Pelodiscus sinensis: one gene and its partners. The protein of the gene in region 1 interacts with the protein of each later gene in a pairwise test. Links are inferred from orthologs where the notes say so. Each region holds a gene or a part of one and is shown in the gene's direction. Other genes may lie near its edges. The genes, in order: DVL3, KLHL12 and SNX22.

Evidence for each region.
Region 2: the proteins of DVL3 (region 1) and KLHL12 interact in binary tests that used the Homo sapiens proteins (3 or more experiments, as listed by UniProt). The two-hybrid records come from large-scale screens. The link is inferred for Pelodiscus sinensis from reciprocal best matches to the Homo sapiens genes DVL3 and KLHL12.
Region 3: the proteins of DVL3 (region 1) and SNX22 interact in binary tests that used the Homo sapiens proteins (3 or more experiments, as listed by UniProt). The two-hybrid records come from large-scale screens. The link is inferred for Pelodiscus sinensis from reciprocal best matches to the Homo sapiens genes DVL3 and SNX22.

Annotation. Positions count from the first base shown.
Region 1 is NC_134720.1:49,009,394-49,013,135, reverse strand, and holds the start of DVL3 (segment polarity protein dishevelled homolog DVL-3), read left to right. Parts: upstream 1-1,204; 5' UTR 1,205-1,382; coding exon 1,383-1,549; intron 1,550-3,742. UniProt on the Homo sapiens protein: Involved in the signal transduction pathway mediated by multiple Wnt genes.
Region 2 is NC_134737.1:16,710,817-16,714,558, reverse strand, and holds the start of KLHL12 (kelch-like protein 12), read left to right. Parts: upstream 1-1,493; 5' UTR 1,494-2,132; coding exon 2,133-2,315; intron 2,316-3,742. UniProt on the Homo sapiens protein: Substrate-specific adapter of a BCR (BTB-CUL3-RBX1) E3 ubiquitin ligase complex that acts as a negative regulator of Wnt signaling pathway and ER-Golgi transport.
Region 3 is NC_134724.1:36,774,325-36,778,066, reverse strand, and holds the start of SNX22 (sorting nexin-22), read left to right. Parts: upstream 1-1,135; 5' UTR 1,136-1,180; coding exon 1,181-1,288; intron 1,289-3,601; coding exon 3,602-3,685; intron 3,686-3,742. UniProt on the Homo sapiens protein: May be involved in several stages of intracellular trafficking. Interacts with membranes containing phosphatidylinositol 3-phosphate (PtdIns(3P)).

The DNA of each region.
Region 1 (3,742 bases):
TTACAGGGAGGCTCTGTGTGGGGGCTGGGGGGTTACAGGGAGGCTCTGTGTGGGGGGGCTGTAGGGAGGTGGGGGAGGCTGGGGGGTTACAGGGAGGCTCTGTGTGGGGGCTGGGGGGTTACAGGGAGGCTCTGTGGGGGGGGCTGTAGGGAGGTGGGGGGGCTGGGGGGTTACAGGGAGGCTCTGTGGGGGGGACTGGGGGGGTTACAGGGAGGCTCTGTGGGGGGGACTGGGGGGGTTACAGGGAGGCTCTGTGTGGGGGGGGCTGGGGGGTTACAGGGAGGCTCTGTGGGGGGGACTGGGGGTTACAGGGAGGCTCTGTGGGGGGGCTGGGGGGTTACAGGGAGGCTCTGGGGGGGGCTGGGGGGTACAGGGAGGCTCTGGGGGGTTACAGGGAGGCTCTGTGGGGGGGGCTGGGGGGTTACAGGGAGGCTGTGGGGGGGGCTGGGGGGGTTACAGGGAGGCTCTGTGTGGGGGGGCTGTAGGGAGGTGGGGGAGGCTGGGGGGGTTACAGGGAGGCTCTGTGGGGGGGCTGGGGGGTTACAGGGAGGCTCTGTGGGGGGGGCTCTAGGGAGGTGGGGGGCTGGGGGGTTACAGGGAGACTCTGTGGGGGGGCGGGGAGGTTACAGGGAGGCTCTGTGGGGGGGCTGTAGGGAGGTGGGGGGGCTGGGGGTTACAGGGAGGCTCTGTGTGGGGGGGCGGGGGGGTTACAGGGAGGCTCTGTGGGGGGGCTGTAGGGAGGTGGGGGGCTGGGGGGTTACAGGGAGGCTCTGTGGGGGGGCGGGGGGGTTACAGGGAGGCTCTGTGGGGGGGCGGGGGGTTACAGGCAAGCTCTGTGTGGGGGGGGCTGTAGGGAGGTGGGGGGCTGGGGGTTACAGGGAGGCTCTGTGGGGGGGCGGGGGGGTTACAGGGAGGCTCTGTGGGGGGGCGGGGGGTTACAGGCAAGCTCTGTGTGGGGGGGGCTGTAGGGAGGTGGGGGGGCTGGGGGTTACAGGGAGGCTCTGTGGGGGGGCGGGGGGGTTACAGGGAGGCTCTGTGGGGGGGCGGGGGGTTATAGGGAGGCTCTGTGTGGGGGGGGCTGTAGGGAGGTGGGGGGGCTGGGGGTTACAGGCAGGCTCTGTGGGGGGGCTGTGGAGAGCCGGGGAAGGTCTGTGGAGGCGGGGGAGTTGGGGGGGCTCCGTGTCTACAGCCGCGCCGCCGTGAGGGGCTAGGCCGGGCCGCGCCGCGCTCGCTGCCCAGCGAAGCCCCCGGGGCCGCGGCCGGCGGGGCGGAGCCGGAGCTTGCGCCGTGAGCCGGGCGGCGCTGGGACCCGGAGAACAAGGGCCGGGGGGCGCCGCCAGAGGCCGGGCCGGGTCGGGTCGGGTCGGGCCCGCGCGGGCGCCATGGCGGCGGCCGAGACGAAGATCATCTACCACCTGGACGAGCAGGAGACGCCCTACCTGGTGAAGCTGCCGATCCCGGCCGAGCGGGTCACCCTGGGCGACTTCAAGGGCCTCCTCAACCGGCCCAACTACAAGTTCTACTTCAAGTCTATGGACGATGACTTCGGGTGAGCGGGGCCCCTCCCGCCCCGGGGGTGCCCGGCCCCCCCCCGGCCCATCCCGGCGTGGGCTCGGCCCCTTCCCCCTCATCCTCAGGGTGTGCCTGCCCCCGCCCGCCCCGAACTGCCCCGGAGTGTTCTCCCACAGCCCCCAATACCCCCCTTGGGGTGTGCTTGGGCACCCCCCCCAGCCGCCTAATCCCATCCCTGGCGTGTGCTGGGGGGGGCAAGCACCCCCTCAGTTCCCCCCCAGGCCACCCCCCCAGGTTGTGCTTGGAGGTGGCTGTTTGGGGATGACACTCCCCAGCAGTGTTCCCTGTAATCTGGGTGCTTGGGCAGCTGCCCAGGGGAGACTCCGATGCCACTGCTGGTTAGCAGCACACCCACCGCTGGCAGCCGATAGCACCGCATGTGTCTACTGGTGGGGCACATCTGCACATGCCTCAGTGCCCCTAACAACATTTATTCTGCTCATAGATGGAAAAAAATTAGAGGGAACAGTGCTCCCTACCTCCATCCCCAGGTTGGTGGTTGGACAACACCCCTTCCCACCTTGCCTGTATCCCGTTTCTGGGGTGTATGTGGCTGGAACACCCGTCTCCAGTTTCTCCTCAGTCCTGTACTGGGGTGGGAATGCCTGTTCCATCTCCATTGTGTGCGCTTATTTAAGGGAGCATTTGAACTCTTTTAATGACGGAAGTCATCAGTGCTTCTTAAAAAGCCATTCAGATGGGACTCTCATCGTCCAAATCCATTCTCGAGAGATTCTAGGACCCTCAAACCTTATATCTGGGTTAGAAGGTTGGGGGATTTGTTCCTCCTTTCCTTCTCTCATTTTGGGGCTCCATAGACTACTTTTTCTGACACTTCCCCAACAAAATCTACATTTCTTTAAGGAACTACCAGCCATGTAGAAACTTTCTTAATTTTTCTATGGAGCCCCTGATCCTTTCTTCTCCAACTGAACAGTAACACCCCCTTCACGCCATTCTGTCATCTCCTTGCATCTCTTTTTTAGTCTCTGGTGGACATCCCAGTTCTGTCCAGGGAGCCCTGCTCTTCCTCTCTTGTAGAGCACCTACTTGGCACAGAGTTGCAGGGCCTGACTTGCTTCGTTTGTTTTCCTCACAGGATTCACCATTTGCACTAGAACTTGTGAGGGTGCAACTAGGGGTTCCAAGTGGCCTGTAGTTTCATACTCCTCCTAGCCAAAGACAGCCTCAGGCCATGACCTTGTTAGAGCTCATAAATTAAACAGGGATGGGCCTGGTTACTGCTTGTATGAGAGACTTTCAGATAATTCTGAGTGCTGCATAAAGCAGTGTGTGGGAGTCATTAGGGCTGTGGTGTGTAACCAATTCTGAACTAGCCACATTCATCCAGCCAAATAGTCACATTCAACTGGCCAAATAGGCACATATGGCTAGTATGTTGGACATCACGGTGTTAAGGGGTATGTTCTTCACTGAGTCACTTTTGACCTAGATGCCCCAAGCTGGTGTTAGGTCTGGAGATGATAGCATTTAGATTAGAGTTAGAACCAATGTAGAGGCTGTTCATGATCATGAAAGATTCCTGGCACTTCTCAAATGAGTTGGTATTACCTTTTATCCAAATTCCAGTTAAGTACCTTTTCCTGCCATCATTCCCTCTGGAATTGTAGTTGTTTGCACTACATATTCTGTGCCTAAACTACTGTATCCCATTGTTGGGTACTGTTCAATGGCTGTTGCATTTCCACGGTGAGTGAAATTAATTCTCTGTGCGTGTTGTTTGTAAAGAAATACTTTGGGGTCCTTTGAAACATTTCTCTCGAAATGAATTTAAATTTTTGACTGCAACACTTCCTTAGAGGTGGAAAAGTGTCTGCATTTGTCAACAAGGTATAGTACTGTAATATATAGTAATGTCTCAGGTTGTAGCCAGGGGTCTGGTGGAAGCTGCAGGGACCCGTGTTAGGTCTGGTCTTATTTCATAGCTTCACTAATGATCCAGAAGAAGAGGCATATGGCAGATTAGTGAAATTTGCAGATGAAGCAAAACAGGGAGGAGCTGCAGATACTAGAGAAATGATATGGAGAGACCCAGACCCATGACTACACTACACAACTTTTAGCGACAAGATTGTGTCAACACACCCAACATAACAAAGAACGGCTATACTGGGTCAGACCAAAGGTCTGTCTAGCAACACCCCTGTTG
Region 2 (3,742 bases), on another chromosome or scaffold:
ACGCAGTCATCACAAACAGCTCTCTCTTGTGAACTTTTACCGCCAACTGGATAAGAGCCGGGTTCAAGAGATTCGAACATTGGCTAAGAAAATGCTGAGCTTGTTTGGCTCAACATATGTGTGAGAAGACATTCTCTGCTATGAAGTTTAACAAGAACCGCGTGAGGACAAGACTGAGTGACTCTCACCTGCGTGACATTTTGCGCATCAAAACCACTGCCTTTGAACCAGACCTAGCCTATGTGCTGCAGTCCAGATCTCAGTTTCACCCTTCACATTAGTGCAGGCAAGTTTTTTTTCCAATTGAGATGAATACATTGTAAAATCTCAGTTAATGTCCGTTGGTCTAAATCAGTTAAAAATATATTTGGACACAACATGTATACTTGGTGTTATGTTCCTGTTCATATTTTTTGAACTTAAAAGTTGACAGACAACCTTTATTACCAATAATATGTAATGTACTTTACAATGTTCCTGACATATATTTCAGCTTCCTGGATTTTTTTTTCATCTGGCCTTCAGATATGAAAGGCAGAGTGATTTAACACCTGTTTAGATTTGTCATCCATGTGACGAAATGAAAAGTATGTCGTTTGCAATAAACTTTGCGTAAAATAGTTAATTTGCATTTAATTTTAATGGTTCAAAGAATGTCAGGCAAAATGGTCGGCCCTCACGCATGTTCACTTCATCAAATCTGGCCCTCGTTGAAAAAAGTTTGGACACCCCTGCACTAGCCGGTTTCCCAGATGTTGGGTGTGGACCAGCAGGGATCGCTCACTTGATCATTGCCGGCGCCGTTCACACCCTCGGAAGCACCTTGCATTAGTCATCATCCGCAGGCGGGATATTGGGCAAGAGGGACAATCGGACGGAGCGATTCCGGCTGTTTTCGTGCCCTGTATTGTCAATGTCTGGCCGCCGTAGGGGCGCTGAGCGGGGGTCGGGCCGCGGGGCCCCCGGCGCGCTCTGGCCAGAGCCGCGGGAGCCGAGGCGCCGCTGGGAACGGAGCCCAGCGCCAGGCCGGCGGGCTCCGCAGCAGCTGCCCCGGCATCACCTTGGCCGCCTTGACTCTGCCCGCGGCGGGCCGCCTAGGCGGGCCCCGGGCCCGCAGCACCAGCGAGCCCGCCGGGAGGGGACCCGGCCCCCCGCCCGCAGCCGCGCCGCGCGCCTGCCCCTTCCCGCCCGCACTCACCGGCCCTACATCCCGGGCAGCAGCAGCGGCGGCTCCGGCTGGCAACACCGGAAACAGCCTCGGGTGTGACGCCACTTCCGCCAAAGGCAGCACCGCCGCTGTGTCCCACGTGATTCAGGGCACAAGCATTTCCGCTGGGGGCGGGCGACAGGCTGCTGTGATGACCTTCCCCGCGATTGGTCGCTGGTACCCCCCGGCCGATGTGATTGGATGCGTGAGTTAAAAGTGCTTTTCCTGCGCCCTTTGAGCCCTAGGCCTCCCCACGGCTGGGCGCGTGCGCAGAGCTGGCAGCTGCCCACGTGGTGCGTTCTAGCCCCGCCCCTTCCCTGGTCTCGGGGCCTCGCTCACCTGCCACCAGATCCCGGCCCGTGTCCCGCCACCCGCGGTGACCCCCCCCCCCGAGCGGGGCCAGGGGCCTCAGTGACCCCCCCCGTGCCGGGGGAGCGGGGCCTCAGTGACCCCCCCCCGTGCCGGGGGAGCGGGGCCTCAGTGACCCCCCCGTGCCGGGGGAGCGGGGCCTCAGTGACCCCCCCGTGCCGGGGGAGCGGGGCCCGGGGCCTCAGTGACCCCCCCCGTGCCGGGGGAGCGGGGCCTCAGTGACCCCCCCGTGCCGGGGGAGCGGGGCCCGGGGCCTCAGTGACCCCCCCGTGCCGGGGGAGCGGGGCCTCAGTGACCCCCCCGTGCCGGGGGAGCGGGGCCTCAGTGACCCCCCCCCCGTGCCGGGGGAGCGGGGCCCGGGGCCTCAGTGACCCCCCCCGTGCCGGGGGAGCGGGGCCCGGGGCCTCAGTGACCCCCCCCCCCCCCCGTGCCGGGGGAGCGGGGCCCGTGGCCACAGTGACACCCTCCCCCCCCCCCCCCACGCTTCTGGAGGAGCAGGGCCTGGGATCAGAGACTGTCCCCCTGCCCCATCCCGTGCTGGGAGAACAGGGCCGCCATGGCCCCCAAGGACATCATGACCAACTCGCACGCCAAGTCCATCCTGAACGCCATGAACGCCCTGCGGAGGAGCAGTACGCTCTGTGACGTGACGCTGCGTGTTGAACAGAAAGACTTTGCCGCACACCGCATTGTGCTGGCAGCCTGCAGCGACTACTTCTGTGCCATGTTCACCAGCGAGGTAGGCTCTCGAGAGCCACTTGTACATCCAGTAGAACACTCTTGTGCGGTCCTGGAGGGGGCTCATCTCAGCCACATTGACATGGTATTGGGCAAGGGCGCATTTCGGGCACATGGGGGGTAGCAGCTGCCATGCGCTCTGGGACTAGGGTTGCCAGGTGTCCGGTTTTGAACCGGAGAGTCCAGTATTTGAGCTTTCTGTTCGGGAAACAAATTGAGAAAATAGAAATATCTGGTATTTTCTAAATCAGGTGTAATGTAGATTGTGATGGAATGTCAAGTGTGTCTGGTATTTTTGTTGAAACAATCTGGCAACCCTATGGGACATGGCTTGCTTTTCATCCTGTTCCCTGGACGGGAGTGAGGGGAAAGTGCTTTTATTCTGTGCATTCCTTTCACACCTGGCTGGTAGAGCATCCCCTATGCTCCTGGTGGCATCCAACAAGCCTTTGTCTGCCAGTTCAATACTACAGGAGTGCTTAGACCCCCTTGTCCTGAGTACATCCCTACTGGCAGTAAATAGCTATTTAAAAAGTCAATGGGTTAAAATATATAATTGTAACTGTTGAACTTTTACATCGCTAACCACCAGAGGCCATTCTAGCCCTTAATAGCTTGCAGCCTGTCACAGTGAAGACTGAGAAATGTGGGGAGGGGAGAGTGGACTTGGCTCAAAGTTGTCCAGCTGGTCCGTGGCAGAACCAGGAATAGAACAGAGCATTGAGCTCCAGGGCTAGTGCCCTGTCCATGAACCAGGCTCTTCTTCTGACTACTTGCTAGTGATTTACACTAATTGCACATCCTTTTGCAAAATGTTGAAAGGAGATAATGTTTGGCTGTGCTGCAATTCACTGTTTGGTTCAGATTGTTAACTAGCAGTCGTTTTCTGTGCTTTGCTTCAAACTTAATGCAGTGGTAAATAGAAAAAAATGAGGGGAGGCAGAAAGGGGTTGGTCCTGCCTTGGGCGGGGCGCTGGACTTGATGACCTACTGAGGTCTCTTCCAGCTCTATGATTCTATGGATCATGGAACTGGGGTTGTAAAAGTTACATTTCTAATGCCTCTTCTTACACAAAGGCTGTGTCTACTACATCCCTCTTTCGACAGAAGGATGTTAATTAGACACTGTGAAATTGCAAATGAAGCAGGGATTTAAATATCCTGTGCTTCATTTGCATAATTGTGTCATGGCACTCTTCCGAAATGGCGCTTGTTCGAAAGTAAAACAGTCTAGTTGCAGTTCTTTCAAAAACGGCAGGCTTTTTCGAAAGATCCTGTACTCCTTGGTATAGACTGCGGTTTTACTTTCAAAATCGTGATAGAAATGTAGCCATGTTAGTCTGGTGTAGCTGAAACAAAATACAGGACTATGTAGCACTTTAAAGACTAACAAGATGGTTTATTAGATGATGAGCTTTCGTGGGCCAG
Region 3 (3,742 bases), on another chromosome or scaffold:
ACCCGAGCCAGAAAATTGCAGTGCTGTAAAGTGCCAGTGCAGACTTGGCCTCAGGCCGCCTCCCCCCAGCTATTGCCTGAGTCAGGCATCAGCAGTGGCGCTAAAGCCTGGAACAAGCAGGGATTAGCTAAGTACCTAACAGGCCCCACAGAGGCCCAGCTGCTGCCTTGGCTGGGGGGCTTGAAGGGGAGCCGTGCACTAGACTAGCAGGGGGCTGCGGGGTGGGTTTGAGGGGCACCAGGCGAGCAGGGGGGCGCGCTGGGCTGGAGTCCAGAGCAGGGGGGTGCAGCCAGCTGCTGCGGGTGCTGCAGTTGTCCAGCCAGCACAAGGTGCCTGTTTCTGGCTCCCTGGCCCCAGCGCCTCTCGGGGGGCGGGGTGCAGGGACCCCCCCTCAGGGACTCGCTGCTGGAGCCTGCGCGTGTCCCGGCAGTGGGAGCCTTTACCAGAAATAAGAAGTGAAAGCGGAGAGCGGGGATGCTGCTTCTGGCCTTTCCCCGGGGGTCTGCGCCGGCCCAGGCCTCACTTCCCTCTCCCGCAGGGGAAGAGCCCCGAGCTGCGGGCCAGGCTGAGACACTCGGCGGGATGGAGCCGCTTACAGCGCCCAGGCGAGCTGGGAGCGTGGCCCCGGGGCCGTACCCAGCGCAGCCGTGGGCACACACAGCCAGCCCTTGAGCGGTGACACCTGCCAGTGTCCCAGCCCCACTGGGTGTGGGTGTGGGTGTGTTTACACTGTACCTGGGAGGCCTCTGTCCCAGAGTCGTCTGCGCCCTGCACCTGCCGGGGGTTCTCTGCGGATGCAGGTTGCTGGGAGTAGCCCTGACACCCCCCTCCCCCGGGGAAACCCAGCCTGACCCCTAGGGCTGCCAGGTGTCCGGTTTGAACCCCACAGCCCGGTACCGGAGACCTGTCCGGGGTTGTCTAACGCCCACGGGATGCGGATTGGGACGGGATGGCCAGTGTGTCCGGGACTTTCGTCTGGCGCCCCTACTGACCCCCCCCGCGGGCGACTGGGGCCGGGACACCCCTGGCCCGGGCGGGCTTCAGCATGGCCCTGCGCCCCGGCAGCGCCCCGGCAGGACGCCCGCTCCCCCGCCCCGGCGCCAGGCGCTGCGCCGGGGCGGGCGCTGGGGGCGCTGCGGGGCCTGTCCCGGGCGGGGCGGGGCGGCCGGGGCCGGGATGAATGGAGCAGGGGGCGGCCGGGCCGGCCGGCGGCGCGATGATCGCGGTCTCCATCCCCGCCGTGGGGCCGGGGGCCGAGCCCGTGCGGAGCCCCGAGAAGACGCGCACGGTGAGGGGCGGCCCCGCCGGGACACGGGGGGAGGGGGCCCCGCTCAGGAGCAGCCGCCCCCGGCCCGGGGCTTGCTCCGCTGCCCGCCTGGCCTCGGCCCGGGGCCAGGTCTGCCCCCGGGGGGGCAATGCGGGGCAACAGTGCCCCCCCCCCAGGCCAGCCCGCTGGGGGCGGGGCAGGAGCGAGCGGCCCCCTGGGCCAGTCACTCGCCGAAGAGGGGCGGGGGGGCTTTTCGCTGAGTCACTAGCCCCCCCCCCACGCCCGCGGCCGGGGGGTTTCAAACTTTCCCTCCTGCCCCGCTGATGGCGCGGCCCGACGTAACGTGTCTGGGGCGGGGGGCGGGGGGCTGGTGACACACGTGCAGCCCCGGGTCCGGCAGGGAAGGGGTTAAACCCGTCCAGTGACCGCAGGGGAGGGCGGAGGAGCTGGGGAGCCCGGTCCCTGGGGTGGGGTCTGCCTGCCCCCCTGCACAAGGCCCCCGGGGGGGGGGCTATAACTCCGGCCAGCCTGGCTGGGGACTTCAGACCATTTCCTCTCTGCTCCGTTCCCCCTGCTGCGCTGGCCCCTGGGCGCCTGCCTTGCTCAGAGGGGCCGGCTGTGGGGCCGGCTGTGGGGCCAGCCGTGGAACTGGGGCTTCCCAACCTGCTGGCCCAACAGCCCTGCCCTGGCCCCGGCCCACAGTCCCCAGGCAGCTGCTGGGGAAGGCAGGCGACCACGCTCCCCTCTGGCTTGCACGGCCCCGGCCTGCTCTGCTTTGCGTCCCCTGTGGCCCTCAGCAGCAGGCTGAGAGCAGCCGGGGGTTGGATCCAGGGGTCTCGCTAGTGCGGGGGGCAGAGCCAGCCCCATGCCCGTCGTTCCCGCTTCCAAATCCACGGAGCCCACAGGTTCCTGAACACCGGCGTCTTCCCCGCCTGCCTGAGCCACGTGTGCCAGGGCAGGCTGCCCTCCCCGCAGCCCTGATGGGACCGGCGTAGGAGCCAGCCTCGCTGCACGGGCTGGGCCAGCAGCCCCGTCCTGCCCTCCAGCTCCTAGCTGGGCACAGGCAGGTCACCCTGCCCCCGGCCTGCACCTCGCCTGGGAGGCTGGGGATCGGTGAGCTGGTCCCGGTGAGCAGCTTGTGCGTGGGGGTGGTTTCGGTTCCCTCTTCGGAAGAGGAAGGGCCGAGCATCCCCCTTGGGCCTGGCCTGGGAATTGGGGATGTTGGACGCTCCCCTTTCTGGCTGCCCAGGCCTGGGATAAGGCTGTTCCGAGCCAGGTGCCGAGCTGGGATTTGACTTGGGTCACTCAGTAATTCAGTACCAGCCCGGCCAGGGAGGCTGTGACCAGTTCCTGGCTGCCTCGTTGGATTGTCCTCTGCACCAGGCTCTGGTGCGGGGTGCGGGGGCCTGTCTTGCTGCGTTGGGCAGTGGCTAGACTCCAGCCAGAGAGCTGCAGCCCCTGCCAGGGCAGGACCATGGCTGGCCTGGCACCTGTTGTTTTTGTCTGGGCTGCATCCCACACTAGGGGGAGAGAAGCGAGCATGGGGGGGGGAGAGCCTGCAAGCAAACCCAAGCTCACATAAAGGCTGGTGAGCGAATGCTGCAAGGCCATTCCCAGCTCTGCCCTGTGTCGACCCTGTGACTAGTTCCTGTGCTAATCCAGGTTCCCTGCCCTCCGGCGGGAGCTCTCTGCGCTGCTGTGACATGATGCTCGCTCTGGTGCACCGGGGTGTGTGTTTGTGCCGCTGGGGGGGCATATTCCCATGTGAGGCAGCGCAATGAATGGGCATTGGCCCTCCTTGGCTGACCGATGCTGAGCCTGGTGGTCTGGTCCAGCTCCTAGCTACGTCCTGCCCACCCCCAGCCTCCTTGCGGCGTCAGCCGGCGGCTCCGCATGTGCTGCCCGAGGCAGAGCGCGCGCTGTCCGATGTGGGACGGTGGCAGCGTGTGCGCAGGGCGCAGGAGAGGCGATGGAGCCTGTGCTGACCTGTCGGTTGCAGGAGGCCTTTCAGCTGCTGTGCCCAGCAAGAGGGGATTTCTGGAAGGGAGCTGCTGCCCTCCCTGCCCGGTGTGCGGGAGCGGAGCCAGAGCCTGCTCTGAAAGAGCCTTTTGTGGCTCTGTTTGCTCTCCGGACACTGGATTGTGCTTACACAGCTGCAGTGCACCCTGGGAGGGAGAACACAGCGGCTTCCACTGCCAAGCCAGCCCTGCCAGCAGCTGCCCCACCCGAGGGCTGCAAGGGGAAGGGGCTGGGTATGGGAAGGGGGGTGCTCTTATTGCGGATTTCTGCTCTGAGGCTAGGCAGCCCCTCTCATGTCTCTCTGTGGCCTGGCAGGTGTTCACGGTGGAGGTGCTGTTCAATGGCCGGAAACACACCCTTGAGAAGCGGTACAGCGAGTTCCATGCCCTGCACAAAAGGGTGAGGCCGGGTGGGCACGCGGCTGGAGTGGAGGGCAGGGGCTAACTCCATGTTACC